Coturnix japonica: one gene and its partners. The protein of the gene in region 4 binds, or shares a complex with, the protein of the main gene of each other region. Links are inferred from orthologs where the notes say so. Each region holds a gene or a part of one and is shown on either strand. Other genes may lie near its edges. The genes, in order: PDZD8, RUBCN, RILP and RAB7A.

Region 1 (4,295 bases), on a different chromosome or scaffold from region 4:
GCATAAAGATTATTTACTCTACTTGTTACTTCTAGGTATGCTGAGAATGCTCACTGTCACTGAGACTGGGCTCCCCCAAGCCCCTCCTTTGGGCTCTTTTCCACATCAAGCAGCTTCAGTCTCTTTCCAAAACAGCAAAAGGATGGCAGTGACCTTGCTCTTGATAACCTCACTGCTGCCCAGGACCTTCCAAACAACAATTCAGTACCCTGAAGTCTCAAAGGACCACTGCGTTACTTTAAGAAACCACCTACTGCCCCCTGAGGACTTTCTAAGTCTTGGATATTTTACATGAGAACCCTTCTAAATTAGATGGCAGAAGAACCAGCTGAAAAGCCTTTAATATTATGACACTGCTAATTACACTTCAAACAGGCATTTTCAGTTAGTCACGCCTGAGGAATCTCAGAGAAAAGGCTTATTGGAGAAGAATGCAGTCAACAAAAATCCTTCCTTAAAAAGTAACAAGAGCTACAAGAAATGAACCAGAGAGAAAGGAAACATCCTATCCTAAGAGCATTAAGATACTTGAGATAAGGGGAAGATTGTATACCTGGACAGAGGCAAGGCAGTATTTATCTTTCAAATCAGAACTCAAGGTGGAATCAAATCGATGCTGCCTGCCACTTTACTACAGAAACATCCCTGAACTTAGCATTGCACGTGCTGCAACATCTGCCTTTTCAAACATTTCAGCTTAAAAAGCAAAAACCAAACCAAACAAACATCCAAACAAGAAGTTCCCCAAAGCTTTACCGCAACAGTAGCAACACAACCCCTGTCAGCTTCTACACTTCAACAAAGTTGCTGAAGAAATAAAGCAAACCGGAAGGAGGAAGGCGCTGCTTATCATGTGATTCCAGAAATATTCCCTAGAGTGAGGGCTTATTCCTGTCTCACATTAAGCAACAAAACCCTTGTCTCTCTCTGGACAAGCATCATCCACAGCTCTGGCCAAGGTGGTTGACCAGCAGCAGAAGGCCACCCCCAGGCCATGTGCTGTCCCACAGAGCCAGCGTTCTGCCTTTCCCAAAGGTGATCATAATCTGGTTGTTGGACACCTGACAGAACCTGGCACATAATATCTCCAGCACTTAGTTCTGCATGTTTTTGGGGTTTGTTGCAGTCTCTGTGCAATGGTTTCTTCCACCTGTTGCAAATCCATGCCTAACTTCACAGAAAGTGTTATCAATAAGCAGTGCACAAGCACCCCAGATGCAGAAACACTGACAGAAATCTCACTTTACAGTAGGTGTGACACTACTAAGAATCACAGAATCACAGAATCACAGAATTACCCGGGTTGGAAGGGACCTCAAGGATCATGTAGTTCCAACCCCCCTGCCTAGCAGGGCCACCAAACATACACCTTTACTAGATCAGGTTGCCCAGGGCCCCGTCCAACCTGGCCTTGAACACCTCCAAGGACGGGGCATCCACAACCTCACTGGGCAGCCTGTTCCAGGACCTAACCACCCTTCTAGTAAAGAACTTTCCCCTAACATCCAACCTAAATCTTCCCTCCTTCAACTTAAAACCATTTCCCCGTGTCCTGCTATTATCAGCCCTTTCCAAGAGTTTACTCCCCTCCTGGCAGTAAGTTCCCTTCAGGTACTGAAAGGCTGCAATGAGGTCACCCCGCAACCTTCTCTTCTCCAGGCTGAACAAACCCAACTCCCTCAGCCTGTCCTCATAGGGGAGGTGCTCCAGCCCCCTGATCATCTTTGTGGCCCTCCTCTGGACTCCTCTGGACCCTTTCCAAAATCTCCATAAAGAACATAACATCAACTCCAACACTCTCCTCCCCAAGTAACGTTGTGGGCACAGGCCATCTCTTACCTGATTTTGTAATTGGGCAGGGTGTGTTTGCGCTTGATAACCTTCTTGAATTGATTGACAATGATGGAAGTGAGCTGAGGCATGGGCCTCCCTTCAAACTGCGACTTGACTTCGAAGACAACAACGGGGTCATCCATGAAGGAGAAGTACCAGTGCGTGAAGGGCAGGCGCGTGAAGACCAGCTTCAATTTGCCCATCACCTGGGACAGCTTGACAAAGAGGTAGGCTGACTTGCCAAAGACCAGGTCTGCATCGATGGCCAGGTGGAAACCGCCATTGTATTCCAGGTCCACCTCGAAGCTCAGCTCATCGGGGCAGCCCTCCTCACTGAACACCACGGGCCGGATGAGCCGGACAGCCTTAAAGACGGGCAGGACGTTGCCCAGATACACCTCCCGGAGGCTCAACCCTTCCAACACCTTCCCCGTCATCTTGGTCTGCAGCAGCTCCTCGAACTCCACTTTGATCTTTTTGATCACCCAGTTCCTCACCAGGGCCGTATCCCGGAGCTCCCTGAAGAGGAAGAGGAAGATGGCGTTGAGGAAATGGCACGTCTCCTCGCTGGATGAAGGCTCCGGGCCGGGCTCCGGCTGCTGGGTCTGCTTGGTGCCGGGCTCCGGGCCCGCTGAGGGGGCAGGGGCCGAGGCCAAGGCCGGGGCCGGCTCCGGTGCGGCCTGGCTGCCCGCGGGCTCGGTGCCATGCAGATAGTCCTTCAGACTGCGGCCAACCGCGACACGAGCATAGACGAGGCCGTCGTCAGCTCCGGTCCCACCGGGAGGCTCCGGGGTTTTCCTATAAAGGAGCAGCAGCTGTAATAGCAGCGTGAGGAAACAGCCGGCCAGAGCCGAGAGCAAGATGGTGTACAGCGGCAGCATCCTCGCCCCCAGCTCGCCTCCCTCCCCTCACGGCCTCGCGTTTAACGGCCCGAGGTTACCGGCTGCCGGCCGCCGCCTCATCCGGGTCCACCCCGCGGCGGCCCGGCCCGGCGGCGGCGGCGGCGGCGGCAGGGCGGAGGGGGCGGGGCCAGCTCGGCCTCCGAGCAACGCTATTGGTGGAGAGAGGGAGGCCCCGTAGGTATGGCGTCACTGTGCGGCGTGAGCATGCGCGGGGGTGGGAGCGGAGGGGATGGGGTTGGGGTACACGGGTTGTTATGGGGTTGTTATGGGGCTGTCATTAAGGGGTGGTTGGTTGGTGGGTTGTGGGTGAAACCCCTCTGGAGATCCTGAAATCCCCTCGGGATACACGGAGCTGCCGGGATTCCTTCAAAGCCCCTTCGCTGCTTCCTGTTTCTGATTGAAGTTTGGGGCTAAACCTCGAAGTACAGCTTGTTCTCAAGTTCTCCCATCGGTGATGGGGTATAAACCTGTCCCTGTGCTCTTCAGATCACATATTTTTGCCTCCCTCCATCCAGAGCTACTTAAAAGTGCAGGCAGAAGGAGGAGTAAATGTGAAACTGAAGCTCTGGGAAGATAAAACTGCCCTCCCCCCCCCCCCCCCCCCTTTCATAATGTCTATGGGATTGAAAAGCTCTTAATGATGCAGAGCTGTGGTTTGAAACTAGAGATTTTCGGCGTATGAATTTTTTATAAGGTCTTGTGACTGGAAGTTGAAATGGCTGGGTGTTTAACAGAGCAATTTCTATAGAAATACCAGCAAGGTCATCAGTAGAGAATTTGATCTGCTCTGTTATAAGCCTTTACCATGGCTAATATGGGCATATGCAGTAAGAAAGTGTTTGGATTTGCAACTAAATGGCTTTTCAGGAAAGGAATAATATATTCAGAGAGGCAATAACAGCTTTGGGGTCAGGAGGAACACCAGGTAAAAAAAAAAAAAAGCAGGTATTTCATTTGAGCTTTTTCTTCTGTTAAACAAGCAAAGAAGAAAAACTGGCACATTTTACACACCTGATGGCAGCTTAAGAGTCTGAAGCACTGAGCTCAGTGATCACTTTTATCCTTTCCCAGGAGTGTTTTTATCAAGAGCTGTGTGATCTTGGAGACACGTTGTGAAGCAAGAATTGGGTGGGTTTCAGCATTTTCAACAATATCAGAATTAGCAGCGGAGATTATGAACACGAGTGCAAAAAGGACGTGCAAAAATGTTGTGTAACATTACGTCAGATTGAAACTATTCTAGAGAGAAAACAACCTTATGTTGTATAAAAGGGAGGAAGGGTTTGTCTTCTTACCATCTGGAAAGGGCCTCGAGGCATGCATGGCTTTGGTTTCAGATTAGAAATTACTGTTTGCATTTTTTAGAGGTCTGGATAAATAGAAAGGTGTGTGCAGTCATTTGGTTTCCACTCTGGTTACACAGAGCTTTGTACAGCTGTATGGAATATACTCACCTGCTTGTTCTTTGTACAGCTGTGAATTATTAAATAGGATGCTGCACATGCATAAGTTAGACCTGGTGTGCATGGTTGTTTTTGTTTTTAACATGAGAATTATTTG
Region 2 (3,557 bases), on a different chromosome or scaffold from region 4:
GTGGTCACATAGAGGATGTGTGACATCCTTTTCTTCTCTCTGTCCAGACAGGAGATCAGCAAGCTCCTCCATCAGCTCCAGCTCCAGCCAACCCCAGGAACACTGCCTGGCTTCCCGATCCTCCTCCTTTAGTGAGGGCAGGTCCCCTCTGGAGCAGCCCAGTGCTGTCCCTCCTTCACACATTCCCTCACCCAAAGACCCCTTCTCTCCAGCCAACGAGATGAGTTCCAGCACCACCAGCCAGAGTGAGGACACTTGGACAGGGAGTCAGGATGATCCACAAAGCGATGCTAACGATGGACCGGAGTATCTGGCCATAGGGAACTTGGGGCGCCGTGGCCGGGCCTGCAGCAGTGCCAGCACCAGCAGCAGTAAAAGCAGCAGCTCCAACATGTTCTCCACCAGCAGCTCCCAGAAGCTGGACTCAGGGGACCAGGGGATGAACGGATGTGGCAGCAGGGGCCTGGGCCTGTTGCGCCGATCCAGCTTCTCAGAGGGACAGTCATCAGTGCCACAGGGCATCCTCAAGAAGAGCCATGTGCGCTCACACTCGGACACCAATGTGGCTTCGGGGAAATTGCATGGTAATGGGGTTACTTTGCTCAGTGCATAGGGAGGTTGTGGGGTGCGGGCACAACGGTGGGACCATGGCCAGGTGGGAGTCAGCAGTATTGGGATGTTGGCTGTCCCTTCAACTCCGTGGGTCAGATGAACAAGGAGAGCAGTAAGAAAGCATTTTGGAGGTTTGATTGTTACCCTCCATTTTCCTGCTCCACGCTGGAATGAGGGGCTGATATCAGAATGCCCTGGGCCAGTCTGGTTTTTGTACTAGCAGCTCTGTTGTATCCTTCACTGGAGGCTTAGCAAGCAGCAGGGATGCTGCAGAATTAGCTGTCCTGCTTTTCCTCTGGTCCTGTCCACTTGGGACATAAAGCCATGGCAGACTTGGAAGCTTCTTGTCATGGTACTGGTAACCTGCTGGGCTCTCCTGTGCTCCTGAGTATGTGAATGCATTGTGGGAAGCTTCAGGAGTGAAGGGGCAACTGTTTTGTGGGATTCAGTCTCACTGGTGCTGCCTTGATGGGAGAAACAAAAGTTCTTGCTGCACAGTAACCAGTCTGTCTCTGTTTTCTCTCCCTTAACGCTGCCCTCTTCCTCCTCTGTCTGTCCAGGAGGCCTCAGGGATATCACCATTATAATAGAAGATCCAGTGGCAGGTTTGGGAGCCAGCAAAACCGCCTTTCATTAGTGATCACTGCATTAAGTTCAGAATTTCCATCAAACCATTAGTATCCATTCAGAAAACAATCAAAAACATTTTTTTCCTGAGTCTCAGGTGCTTTGAAAGGTGCCTCAGGTTTATGCATGTGGCCTGACTGAAGATCCCAGCTTGGTTTTGGCAGCAGTGGGCCAGACCCAAGGCTGGCACTGAGCTCTCCTGCATGGCATTACAAAGTGCTGACCAGCAAGTCCCTGAGCTTCTTCCCCTGCCCTCTCCTCCACTCCTATTACTCTGGGAACCAGAAGAGGTTGCCCCTGCTGGCCAAGGGCTGGTTGCCATGAAAGCATGGGCTTCAATGTGATATTTTTCATGGGGCAGATCTGCAGTAGGGCCTAGTTTGATGCTGATGGCACGGGGTGCTGAGCAGTCCATGGCTGGGAAGGCTCCTCCTTGAGTTGGCAGGAGCATGGACAGATGTGCCCATCCCCATGACTTGCTTTGTCTCCAGCTCCAGCAAAGGCTGCAGGGTGCTGCTTTCCAGCTCCAGGGTGTTTTTGGGCCTTCCCACACAAGTCAGCTGCTCTCTGGGGCCTTGCTGTCTGCACAACACTGGTGGTTGTTTGTCCCTGATGAGGCCGGCTCCTGGCGGTCCCCACCAGCTCTGCCTGGCAGTACGCAGCCCTGGAGCACACGCATGGGGAGGTGACCTTGAGCACTGTGATCCTGGCTCTGGGTTTTCCCAGCTGAGCAAGAGTGTGTCCTTCAGATACCTCCTTCCACCCTTGTCCAGGCTTCAAGCCCCACAGATCCTTTGGCTGCTCAGATGTCCCCTTGTCTCATGTTCCAACCCTGTGGGGTGACTCTTCCTTGGAGCTGCTCCAGGAAGAAGATGGAGCTGTTAGAGGTGCTTGCAGGAACTATTGCATTACCCAGGTTTGCGGGGCATAAAGAGAGGAATGCTCAGGACTTGACTGATCTGTGGTTGTCATGGCCTTCTCCTCTTTCCCTTTCATCCCCTGCCACCTGAAATGTCCCTCTGGTTGTCTTCCCTCTTGGGCTTGACTTCAAGCATGGTACAGAGCAGGTGATCCAAGTGGAGGATTTCCCTTGTTGATTCCCATCCATTTGTGCCCACCCACGTGATGATAAGCTTCTTCCATTTCACACCATGCTCTGGGCTGGGTACTTCTGGTTTGCTGACATGTGCCTGGTGTTGTCTTCCCTTGCAGAGTCCCATGCTGACACAGTTGGAAGTAGAGGAATGGTCTCTGGTTCCACCCAAAGCAGTGAACTGAGCACACCCAGCTCCCTCTACATGGAGTATGGTGAGTACAGTGAGCATCAGTGGGGATGCTTGCTCCTGGGCATGAACTGTAGCGGCCTCAGCTTCTAGCACCTGCTTGTGGGATGCAGGCATACAAGAACTGGCTTGTAGTGACTTGGTTGGGAACTGGAAAGGCTTGTTAGCTTGGGGATAGCACCCTGAAGGTCTGTCTGGCCTTCTAGGTGAATGAGGACGCACTGCAGTGCTTAGATGTGGGCTCTGCAGGAGCCTCTGTGGGTCCAGCAACATCAACGCTGAACAACTCATTAAAAGTTTTTCCTTTTGGCATGGGTGTGTATCCACTGTGCTACCTACAGTATGCTAAAGCATGTCTGTTATTCATATTGTTTTGTTATTTGGCATATGCCTTCTCTTTTTTTTATCCTGAATAACAAACATTGGCTACCTGAAGGCTATGAGGGCCTGCCAGGAGTACTTTTGTGGTTGCTGTCTTAGCAGCTCTGCCCAGGATGTGTGGGGATGATGATTATTAGTGATGTGCAGTGGTGATGCCCTAGGGCTGCCTGAGGTCAGGGTCTCCTTGTGCTCCAGGGTAGAGCTGGCCCTAGTCATTGTTCCAGAATTACTGCTGCCATAGAGAAGCAGGAGAGCATCTGGTAGCAGCTGGAACAGTCAAGTGATCTCCTGCTCCTTCCTGCTTAGGGTGGGATGTTCAGGAGGGCTGGATGATTTCAGGATGCCTGCTGTCATCATAATGGCATGGTGTTGGTTGCTGTTCTCCATTAGAGTGGATGAAACTGGATCCAGTTCTGTCTGTAGAGTGGGATAGGCAGCTGTTGGCTGTGTGAACTAGCCAGTGTGTTGACACAGAACATGGTCTTGGAGCAGTGAATTTCCTGGTCCTTCCTTCATAATGTTCCTGTCTTGCTTTTCTAGACTCTGGCCAGTACCTGAGCTCGGGGGAAGGGATGTTCAGAAGACCCTCAGAAGGACAGTCCCTCATCAGTTACCTCTCTGAGCAGGACTTTGGCAGCTGTGCAGACCTGGAGA
Region 3 (4,177 bases), on a different chromosome or scaffold from region 4:
CCACGCTGCAGTCTGCAGGCACCCAGCCCTGGCAACTGTGTCTGCTGCCATTGCCCTGTGGGGCTGCAAAGGGACATCCCCAGCTCTGCAGAGACGCCAGGGCTTGAGTTCAGCCTCAGGGGTGCCATCAGCAGCACAAGCTGCAGCCTGGGGTGATGTTGGGGACAGCCAAACCTGCAGAACAGCAGGATGGCACCCAAATGGGCAGCAGCCACTTGGGGCAGGCAGAAGGGGAGCAGTGTCTCAGACTTCTGGATGAACAAGGACACTAAGGAAACAAGGACTGCACAAGGAAAAAACAAGCTGTGCTGACTGGGGGAAACCCCTACTCTCCTGAAAATCTTGTTCTGCCTCTCCCACAGCTCTCATGAAGGGTTTGGGTAGGTGGGGAGGATCCATCCCTACCCCAACCAGCCTGGACTGGTTAAGTCCCAGCCAGGAATATGGCTGAGCAAACCTGCCCTGCTGGCTCCAAGCAGCACCGACAGCAGAGCCAGGACCACTATGGGCTGGAATGTGGCATCAGCTCCAGCCACAGATTCACTCCAGGCTGCACAGACCACCCTCCTGCACCCCAATGCAAACAGCAGGAGGTTGGAACAGCACAAAAGAGCTCAACCCTCTTGAGACCTTTATTAAAGCCTCTGCAAGGCAGTGAGATACAGCTCTGCTTCCCCTCCTGCTGCTGAGCAGATGTGCAACCAACTCTGCCCAAAGACACCTTGCAGGGAACATCCCCAGTGCCAAATCTACAGCTCATGGACTACGTGCCCCACCACCTCACCTCCCCACTGTCATATTTATACAAGGAAGAACAGCACACATGGAGCAGGCGTGTGACATGTGACAGCCATGTGGAAGCATCAGCAAACAGCCCAGCCCCACAGCACTGTGCCAGGGCACCCAGCACAGGCATTGAACCTTTGCTCTCTGGCAGGAGGCAGGGACAAGGCCAGAGCCCAGGGCTGATCCCTCACAGGTGCCATAAGTGCATGGAAGCACCAAGGGCAGTGTGCAGGAGGCTCCACTGCTGCCTGCAGCTCCACTCACCTACTTGCTGACTCCTCTGCTGTCCCCAGCATCTTGGCTCTGATTTTTCTTCTCTGCTTTTTGATTGTTGACTTCATGGCATCCAGGAAGAAGCTGGGGATTCTCTCTTCATTCAGCAGCTCCCTGGAACAGACAGCACACGGGTTAGCTGAGAGCTTTGCAAGTAAATGCTGCCAAGGGTTGGTAGACCATGGGGTGTTAGAGGGATGGGAGGGAGGTGGCTCTTGGAGGGCTCACCGCTGGTAATAGCCCAGCTCCTCCTGCACCAGGAACAGGTTGGTCTTCAGCTCGTTCCGCTCCTGCAGGATCTGCTGCAGCTCTTCCATGGAGAAGCAGCACTGAGCTGGGCTCCTGTCTGGTGGTTCCTCTGCAGACAGAGGTGCTGCTCCTTCCTGGGGATGGGAGCATGAAGGATGAGGTGAGTGCAGCCCCCAGAGCCATCCCCCGGCAGCCCCAGGTCTCCCATCTCACCTGGCCGGGCTGTGGCAGCGGTGCCTCGGGGACAGCCCTGCTCCTCCTGCTCATTTCCTTCTGTGTTTGCAGCACAGCAGCCTCCAGGTCTGACTTCTTCTCCAGTGCGCTCTTGAGCTGCGCCTGCACCACGGCCACTTTGTGCCGCAGCTCCTCGTTCATGGACATGAAGCGGTGCAGCTGCTCCTGCAGCTGGAAAGGACACGACAACCGGGAGTGAGGCACAGCAGCATCGCTTGGCCACCACCCAGGACATCAGCACCGTGTGGGAACAGCATCAGCCCCAGCGGGATCACGAGTAGCCACATCAGCCCCAGGGGAGGTGACATGAAAGCGAGTCCCCAGGCACTCACTGCCTCCGTGTCTCGGCTCTTGCAGACGATCTCGTGTGCTTGGGCACGAAGCTCATCCCTCTGCTTGTCCACCACCTCCTTCAGCCGCAGCATCACCTCTCGTTCCTTCCTCACTGTGCTGTCTGTGCCCAGCGTGGGGGAACGGGTGTGAGCGGCACCAGGGACCCAAAGACATCCTTGGGATGCTCATCCCACCACCCTCCTGTCACCTCAACTCATGCCAAAGATATTCAGCCCCAAACCCTATGGGAGTCCCCGTGGCTTGCAGAAGGCAGCACTGCCATGGGGACAGGAGCTCACCAGACCCACCTTCCTGGTGCTGGCTGCTCTTCGCCAGCTGCCCCAGGAGCTGCTGGTTCTGCTCCTCCAGCTGGGTCAGGCGGCCACGCAGGGCTCGCTCCCGGCGCTCTGCCTCCCACAGCCGCTGCTCCAGGTCCTGGGGGACAGGGAGAGCTGGGTCAGGCTTAAGGGTTGGCAACAGCTCGGTCTGAGCCACCCCAAGGAATAAGGGACACTCAGCTCAAAGCCAACCCCAGGGGACATCCCCACGATGATAAAGGAGGAAGGGCCATGCAGACACTTCGGGGTCAGCACCTCCCCTAAGGGATAAAGCTGAGCACCACCGGGGACAGCTCCCGGTCCCCCCAATGCTCCCACCATTGCCCCGCTCACCTCCGCATCCCGCTGCTCGGTCAGCGGTTCCTCACTCTCGGTTCCCACCGGTGCCACCAACGCTTCCAGCAGCTCCAACAACCGAACGACCGGCGGCACCAACCCGGCCACGGCGTCGGGTCCAAAGCGGCCCGAGAGACGTCGCAGCTCAGCGCCCAACGCCTCAGCCATGCAGTAAATGTGCGGCGGGGCCAGGCGGCCCGGAGGGGTTCGCCACAGCGGTTCCGTGCCCCGTGTTGGCTCCGCCATCGGCCCCGCCGCCACCGGACGTGGCTCCGTGAACGCTCCGCCCCATCCAGCCCCGTCCGGAGACAGTCACCGCCCCCACCAACCTCCTCCATAGGAGACGAAGCGTTCGGCTTCGTAAAAAATTTATTAAGCCACTCTACGACGGTACAAACACCGGGACAGCAACGCTGGGATGGACAAGGGGGGGACGACGGAGCCGTGGACACGAAAAGCAGGGAGAGGATGTTGAATATCAACAGTACTAAGAGTGCCGGGGGGGCAGGATCAGGCGTAGAGGTCCTCCCTGTCGGCGGAGTAAACCTCCCCCTCCTGCAGCAGGGCGAAGTTGAGGAAGTGAGAAGGGCGATGGACCTCGTGGTAAAACTCCTTGGGGTTGGCGAGCTGCAGCTCGTATTTCATGTTGGGGTCGTGGCGAACACCTGGAAGAGAGTTCACAATGTGAGGCAGCTCTCCATGATCAGCTCTTCTTCCTGACATGAATTACTCAGTGACAATATACCACACGCTACCAGAAGATGGTCTCAGGTCTGATTTTAACCCTGTATGTTTGCTCTCTTGCTGCTTCAAATCGTTAAGAACCAACATCGCAGAACAGCCACCAAGGAAAGGTCCATCTACAATGCTAATATAACCCTGCCGGCTGCTCAGAGAAAGTCAAGCTTCAGGACATGTAAGGAATGCTCCCCTTAAAAAGCCATTTCCTTCTCCTCAAGCTATTCCTGCTGCCTCCCTTCCTACCCCTCTCCTGGGGCTGTCAGCTCACCCATGAAGTTGTAGTTCCAGGATCCCTGTGCTGGAACCATGAAGAAGCCAAGGAAGCGATCTGAGAGCAGCATCTGCACCCTCTCATAGTGGGATGGCAGGTAGCCCTTGGGGTTGTTCCCTTTGTCTGTGTTCTGCCTGCCCCACTCGTAACCACTTGGGGTCAGTTTGTAGGCTGTCAGCGTGCAGGAACCTGGGGTAAAACTGAAGGAGAGCAGAGAGATGGTTTGGGTCAGAATCATTTGAGACAGAGAACAAGAAATAACCAAACAGTTCCTTTCTGCAAGATTTATAGATTGAGACCTTCATGTGTATCCAAAGAAGGGGACGCAGCACAGAAGCCCCTGCTGCCTCTCACCTGCAGGTGATGATGATGGTTTTCTCCCCATCCCAGGAGGGATTGTCAGCCATGACTTTGGCGTGGGTGGTGACATCCTGTGGTGACAGCTGGGGGGACTCGTTTGGTTGGGTATGAATCCATCCCAGAGGTTCCATTTCCTACAGAATGGAAAATGAAAAGCATTTACTCAACGAGAAGATACTAAAAGCCATGAGAAATGTATTTAAAAGAGCGCTTCAAGCACAGTACAAAGCACACAAAGACTAAAGGCTTCCCCATT
Region 4 (4,178 bases):
GGGCAGGCAAAAGACTACAGCTGTGCTTTTGCCAGTGGAAATGCTTATGTGGTCATGTAAGAGCAGAAGATTTCTAGTGGACAGAATGCCAGAAGCAGCAGGGTGAATCTGGTTTAGCTTGGAGTACAAAAACAAGATATTGTGTGTTTGCTGCAGCTTAGTTCCTTTTTTTTTTCAATTTTATTTTAGCAAGTTCTGACATTACGATGAGTTTTTTTGAGGAAACTGGCCTGGAAAGCAAAAGAGGGCAAGAGAAAAACATTGCAAAGCTCTTGAGAGGACAGCTTCACACAGGGATGACAGGATGGTCAGCTGGAGCTTTATCTTTCCAGACCTAAGAGGCAACAAAGGGTCCCAGTGCTGTGAGCAGCAATGAGGAAGAGGGAACACAGGACTCTGGTGAGCTGAAATAGTCTGGGCAAGTACTAGAAGAATGAGCAGGTTCCCTCTAAGCTTTTAACATCGCAGATGGTTCAAGGTGGGATGGCTGTATGTCCATGGGAAGTGGGTGAGTGCATTAGAAACTACAAGGAACATCAGCTAAGTCAATGTACAGGTTGGCTCCTGGACCTCTCTGCAATCAGCACACGGTGAATCTTTTTGTGTCCATGCTGTTTCTGCTCACTGTGCCACTGTATGGACTGGCAAGAGGAAGGGAGGATCCCTTCCAGTCCAAGGACCAAAGAGATGATGTTTTATTATCCCTCATTGGATGGCACAGACAAGCAAATAGAGATTAGATGTCACAAAGGGAACAAATCAAAGCTGAAGACGTTCTTACTTCCTGGTTCAGCACATGAAATATGCTGAGGTTCCTGCAGTGGTAAATGTCTGTTTGCTATAATATCTAGCTGCCATCTGTGCCCAATGACAAGCACCCAGACCATAAGGCTCTCTCTGCAGGCAGTGATGCTTCTGAGAGCCAGGATTCCTGTGTTCTTCAATGTCCCACAATGGACCAGAGGTGGCTGCTGCAAGACACAGCTGTGGGACACGCCAAGAAAGCCATTAACTCAATGCAAGGTTATCCTCTGTGTAACTAAATAACGTCAGAGATGGGCGGCAGGATCGCTCTGTGATAGAGAGGGAAGGAGGAAATGTTACCCACGGCCCTTGATTGCTTTTTGTATTGTGTAATAAGGAAGAAAAGTGAAATGTACAATCAAATCATTCCAACTGGAACGACCCCGCTCCCCCCTCCCCACCAGCACAAGATGGCGGCGGGCAGCGAGCGATCACGTGACACTCTCCCCCTCCTTTCCTTCCCTCCCCCTTCTTCCCTTCCCTCCCCCTCCCGTTGGCTGCCGGCGCCGTGATGACGTCATGACACCGGGCGGACCCCGTGACCGGAAGTTGTTGAGGGGGGGGAGGCGGAAGTGAAAGCGGGGAGGTGGTTGGGCCCGATAAAGCCGAGCGAGACGAGCGGGGGAGGCACAGCCAGGATCGGGCGGGCGCTGCGGCCACACGCACCACGGTCAGTACGGGGCTGTGTGGGTGTCTGCCATAGGGTTCGGGGCGGGGGGTGCCGGCTCCGGCCCAGCTGCTGTTACTACAGGGCGGGGGGTGGCCTCTCAGGCCCCTCCCTCCGGCTGGAGGGGCCGCTGGGGCCGGCTGGGTATGGGGGGCGCCGCCTTTGTGCTGGGCCCGGTGCCGCCGTGGCAGCTGCTCGCTCTCAGTGTAATACTGGGCTGTTGTGTCGAGCTGGGGCCGGGATCGGCGCTTCCCCCGGAACAATGGAGCTGAGGGATCCTTAGCAAACGGCTCCTCCGCCCAGAGCCTCGGGCACGGCGCTACCGAGGCCTTCCTTGGGCTGTGAGCTTCTAAAGGCGGGTGTGTGGGTGTCCTCGCTGTCAGAGCCATGCGGTGGTCCATGGAGAAGCAGAGCGCATTGTGTGTGTGGCATGTGGCGTGCTGCGCTATGGGCTCGGAGCTGGGGCTGCCCCCAGTGCTGAGGGTTGGGTGGTCAGATGGTGACTGTGCTTCAGGTGGGATGGAGAGGGCATTGGGTGCTGCTTTAGAGACAAGCGGGCTGCTTAGGGAGCATTTAATGCTGCCAAATGTGAGGCTGGGAGGGCTGGCAGTTATTGCGAAAGGAGCTCTCAGCGTGTGCAAAGCCTGAGTCAGTTCGAAGGAGTGTGGGAATGGATGTTGGAAGTGCTTTTTGTTCGGAGTATAATAAGGTAAATGAAATGATGGATGCATTATTAATGGCTCAGGTATATTGAGGCTAATGAATATAGGAATACTTAATCGTTGTGTTAAAGTGAAATGTGTTTTCTTCCTTGTAAATAGTGGATTTCTTATAGTAGTAAGGCAGCTTAAAAAAATAAGTGCCATAATCTGGAGGAAGAGAGTTAACTGCATCAGAATGAATACATCTTAACCAGTAGCTCTGAGTTCTTTGAGTAAAAGATTGAATTCTCAACACTGTTTTCCTGCAGGCTAAAAATACTTGCTGATAAGCAGAGCTGTTGGGATATGTGTTGGGTTTTTTTATGAGTAAACTGAGAACACATGATAGAACAAAGTCCTCCCAGCTGTAAGCAAGCTGTTCTTTGTTTGATAATTGTGAATTGGAAATGTTAAAGCTTCCAGCACCTGGCTGGCCAGCTCTGAGCTGTGCCTTTTGGTGTGGGCTTGTGCTGGGAAAGTGGGGAGTTACCTGCCAGCTGTGTGTAGTGCTTGGCTGTGATTTCAGGGCTCCCTTGTGGTTGTTCTGTGTGTGATCAGTGGTGGTACTAGTGATGCATGATAGAGGCTGCAGCCTTGCTGTGCTTTCAGATGGGCTGGGCTGCTGAAGTGAATGTACTCTGCACTTAGGAGATAGATTCGAGGTTGTGTTGGGTGGAGCCATTTGAATATTCCTTGTTTAATAATCAGAGCTTCATTGCTGTACTTCTTCAGGAAGAACAAGTATACTTGTCTCTTCCCCCCCCCCCTCCTTGTGACTCTCAACAGCTGACTGAACACATGACTTGCTCTCCATGAACTAATGAACAGGCTCACCATGCCTGAGTCCTTAGAACCCAAAGTAGCTCTAATACTGCCACTTCAAAATGCTGCCCTTTCTTTTGTGCTGTTATGCTAATATTCCTGGTGTAGGAAAACTGTCAGATCTGACCTCTCAATAGGGAAGGCTCTGAAAAATCCACTAGCAGTTTCTTGCTTTCTTAATGTGCAGCATGAGGTATAACTGCTAAGGTCTGAAATTCATTTAATTCAACTTCCTTTTTGTCCGTGGTGTCATGCAGTGGCCAGTGTCCTCAAATACTCTATTAATAGTTCAGCATGGCACACTGAGACTTACACCTTAAAATGGAAAGATGCCAAGGTAAAAGCTTAAATAACTGTTGCAGTGACTGTGTTACAGTCATCCTTTCCTTTCTGCCAAATTCAGTGTATCAGCCGCTACCCAGAGCAGCACAGATGTGTTGTGATGCAGGTGAGTCCTGAATTGTAAATGGAAAGCATACAGACTCTGCTGTTGGATCTCTGCTGTGTGATAATATCTTCCTTTGTTTTCTACCCCAAAACCAACGTCTGTGGGCCAAAAGGTTTAGCAGATTGAATTTCTGAAATGCCTTTTTAAAGCTACTGCTGTTGACTTGGAAGGTCATTTGAATTACCTGTCAGAGCGAATCTCTGGCGAAGCTTGTCCTTGAGGAAACATGACAATTAAGATCAAACCATCTGTGCAAAACTATATATAGATTTGTTTCTAACATGTATGAGTTTTTAGTCTGACTTCTCTGCAAGAACGAGACTAGCTCATGTGGAACTGAACATTTGACTGTAAACTAAACCGCTTGTGCTGGGTGAGGATGTTCTTTCAAATGTTTCATCCAGAGATGGTGCTTGGTACCTGGCCTTAGAATGAAGGCTGTGGAATAAGGCACTGGGATATTTGCATTTTTGGAATGAGCTTATGATTGCCTGGGCTCACAGATGCTTGCAGTCCCTCCTGTTGTAGCATACCAGTTTCTTTAGTAACAGAATTGAACTGTGTTAAGTGAGAGTTTGGTGCTTACCAGTGTTCTCTGCCTCCTGGGCTTCCCCGTGGCTGTGACCTGACCCACTCTGAAGCTCTTATTGCTAGGCCTGCTGGTACTGAGATCCTCTTGGTAGAAGGGGATGTAGATGAAAATGAACTTGGGTGCTGAACTGACTGAGTGCTGGTA

What was found.
Region 1: the proteins of RAB7A (region 4) and PDZD8 are in contact, whole or in part, in a crystal structure (PDB 7F6J), measured with the Homo sapiens proteins. The link is inferred for Coturnix japonica from reciprocal best matches to the Homo sapiens genes RAB7A and PDZD8. Residues at the interface, in NP_004628.4 of Homo sapiens: Lys10, Leu14, Asp16, Ser17, Lys38, Ile41, Gly42, Ala43, Asp44, Phe45, Gln60, Trp62, Gly66, Glu68, Arg69, Phe70, Gln71, Ser72, Leu73, Gly74, Val75, Ala76, Phe77, Tyr78, Arg79, Thr98, Ser101, Trp102, Glu105, Phe106; in NP_776152.1 of Homo sapiens: Ile999, Lys1000, Leu1001, Val1002, Arg1003, Lys1004, Glu1005, Gly1007, Leu1008, Asp1009, Asp1010, Phe1013, Ile1014, Lys1017, Gln1044, Leu1051, Asn1054, Asn1055, Val1058, Leu1077, Leu1084, Gln1085, Thr1088, Ile1092.
Region 2: the proteins of RAB7A (region 4) and RUBCN are in contact, whole or in part, in a crystal structure (PDB 6WCW), measured with the Homo sapiens proteins. The link is inferred for Coturnix japonica from reciprocal best matches to the Homo sapiens genes RAB7A and RUBCN. Residues at the interface, in NP_004628.4 of Homo sapiens: Ile41, Gly42, Ala43, Asp44, Trp62, Gln71, Ser72, Leu73, Gly74, Val75, Ala76, Phe77, Arg79, Ser101, Asp104, Glu105, Ile108, Gln109, Ser111; in NP_055502.1 of Homo sapiens: His818, Asn821, Met822, Lys824, Thr825, Arg827, Leu883, Gln885, Ala886, Lys887, Gly888, Phe889, Ile890, Glu892, Gln895, Glu897, Ile900, Pro903, Cys915, Lys916, Arg931, Arg934, Arg938.
Region 3: the proteins of RAB7A (region 4) and RILP are in contact, whole or in part, in a crystal structure (PDB 1YHN), measured with the Homo sapiens proteins. The link is inferred for Coturnix japonica from reciprocal best matches to the Homo sapiens genes RAB7A and RILP. Residues at the interface, in NP_004628.4 of Homo sapiens: Ser3, Lys6, Leu8, Ile41, Gly42, Ala43, Asp44, Phe45, Leu46, Thr47, Thr58, Trp62, Ser72, Leu73, Val75, Leu182, Tyr183, Asn184, Glu185; in NP_113618.2 of Homo sapiens: Phe248, Glu249, Leu252, Gln253, Arg255, Asn256, Lys259, Ala260, Phe263, Leu264, Glu267, Glu268, Tyr271, Arg274, Glu275.

Annotation. Positions count from the first base shown.
Region 1 is NC_029521.1:26,018,139-26,022,433, forward strand, and holds the start of PDZD8 (PDZ domain-containing protein 8), read right to left. Parts: upstream 2,856-4,295; 5' UTR 2,715-2,855; coding exon 1,840-2,714; intron 1-1,839. UniProt on the Homo sapiens protein: Molecular tethering protein that connects endoplasmic reticulum and mitochondria membranes. PDZD8-dependent endoplasmic reticulum-mitochondria membrane tethering is essential for endoplasmic reticulum-mitochondria Ca(2+) transfer.
Region 2 is NC_029524.1:13,094,655-13,098,211, reverse strand, and holds part of RUBCN (run domain Beclin-1-interacting and cysteine-rich domain-containing protein), read left to right. Parts: intron 1-47; coding exon 48-584; intron 585-1,172; coding exon 1,173-1,217; intron 1,218-2,451; coding exon 2,452-2,547; intron 2,548-3,443; coding exon 3,444-3,557.
Region 3 is NC_029534.1:4,138,752-4,142,928, forward strand, and holds the start of RILP (rab-interacting lysosomal protein), read right to left. Parts: upstream 2,819-4,177; 5' UTR 2,796-2,818; coding exon 2,547-2,795; intron 2,311-2,546; coding exon 2,184-2,310; intron 1,997-2,183; coding exon 1,875-1,996; intron 1,714-1,874; coding exon 1,522-1,713; intron 1,443-1,521; coding exon 1,288-1,442; intron 1,174-1,287; coding exon 1,051-1,173; intron 1-1,050. Other genes in the region: PRPF8 (pre-mRNA-processing-splicing factor 8), read right to left, coding at 3,060-3,214, 3,559-3,761, 3,916-4,055. UniProt on the Homo sapiens protein: Rab effector playing a role in late endocytic transport to degradative compartments. Involved in the regulation of lysosomal morphology and distribution.
Region 4 is NC_029527.1:6,808,764-6,812,941, reverse strand, and holds the start of RAB7A (ras-related protein Rab-7a), read left to right. Parts: upstream 1-1,342; 5' UTR 1,343-1,474; intron 1,475-4,178.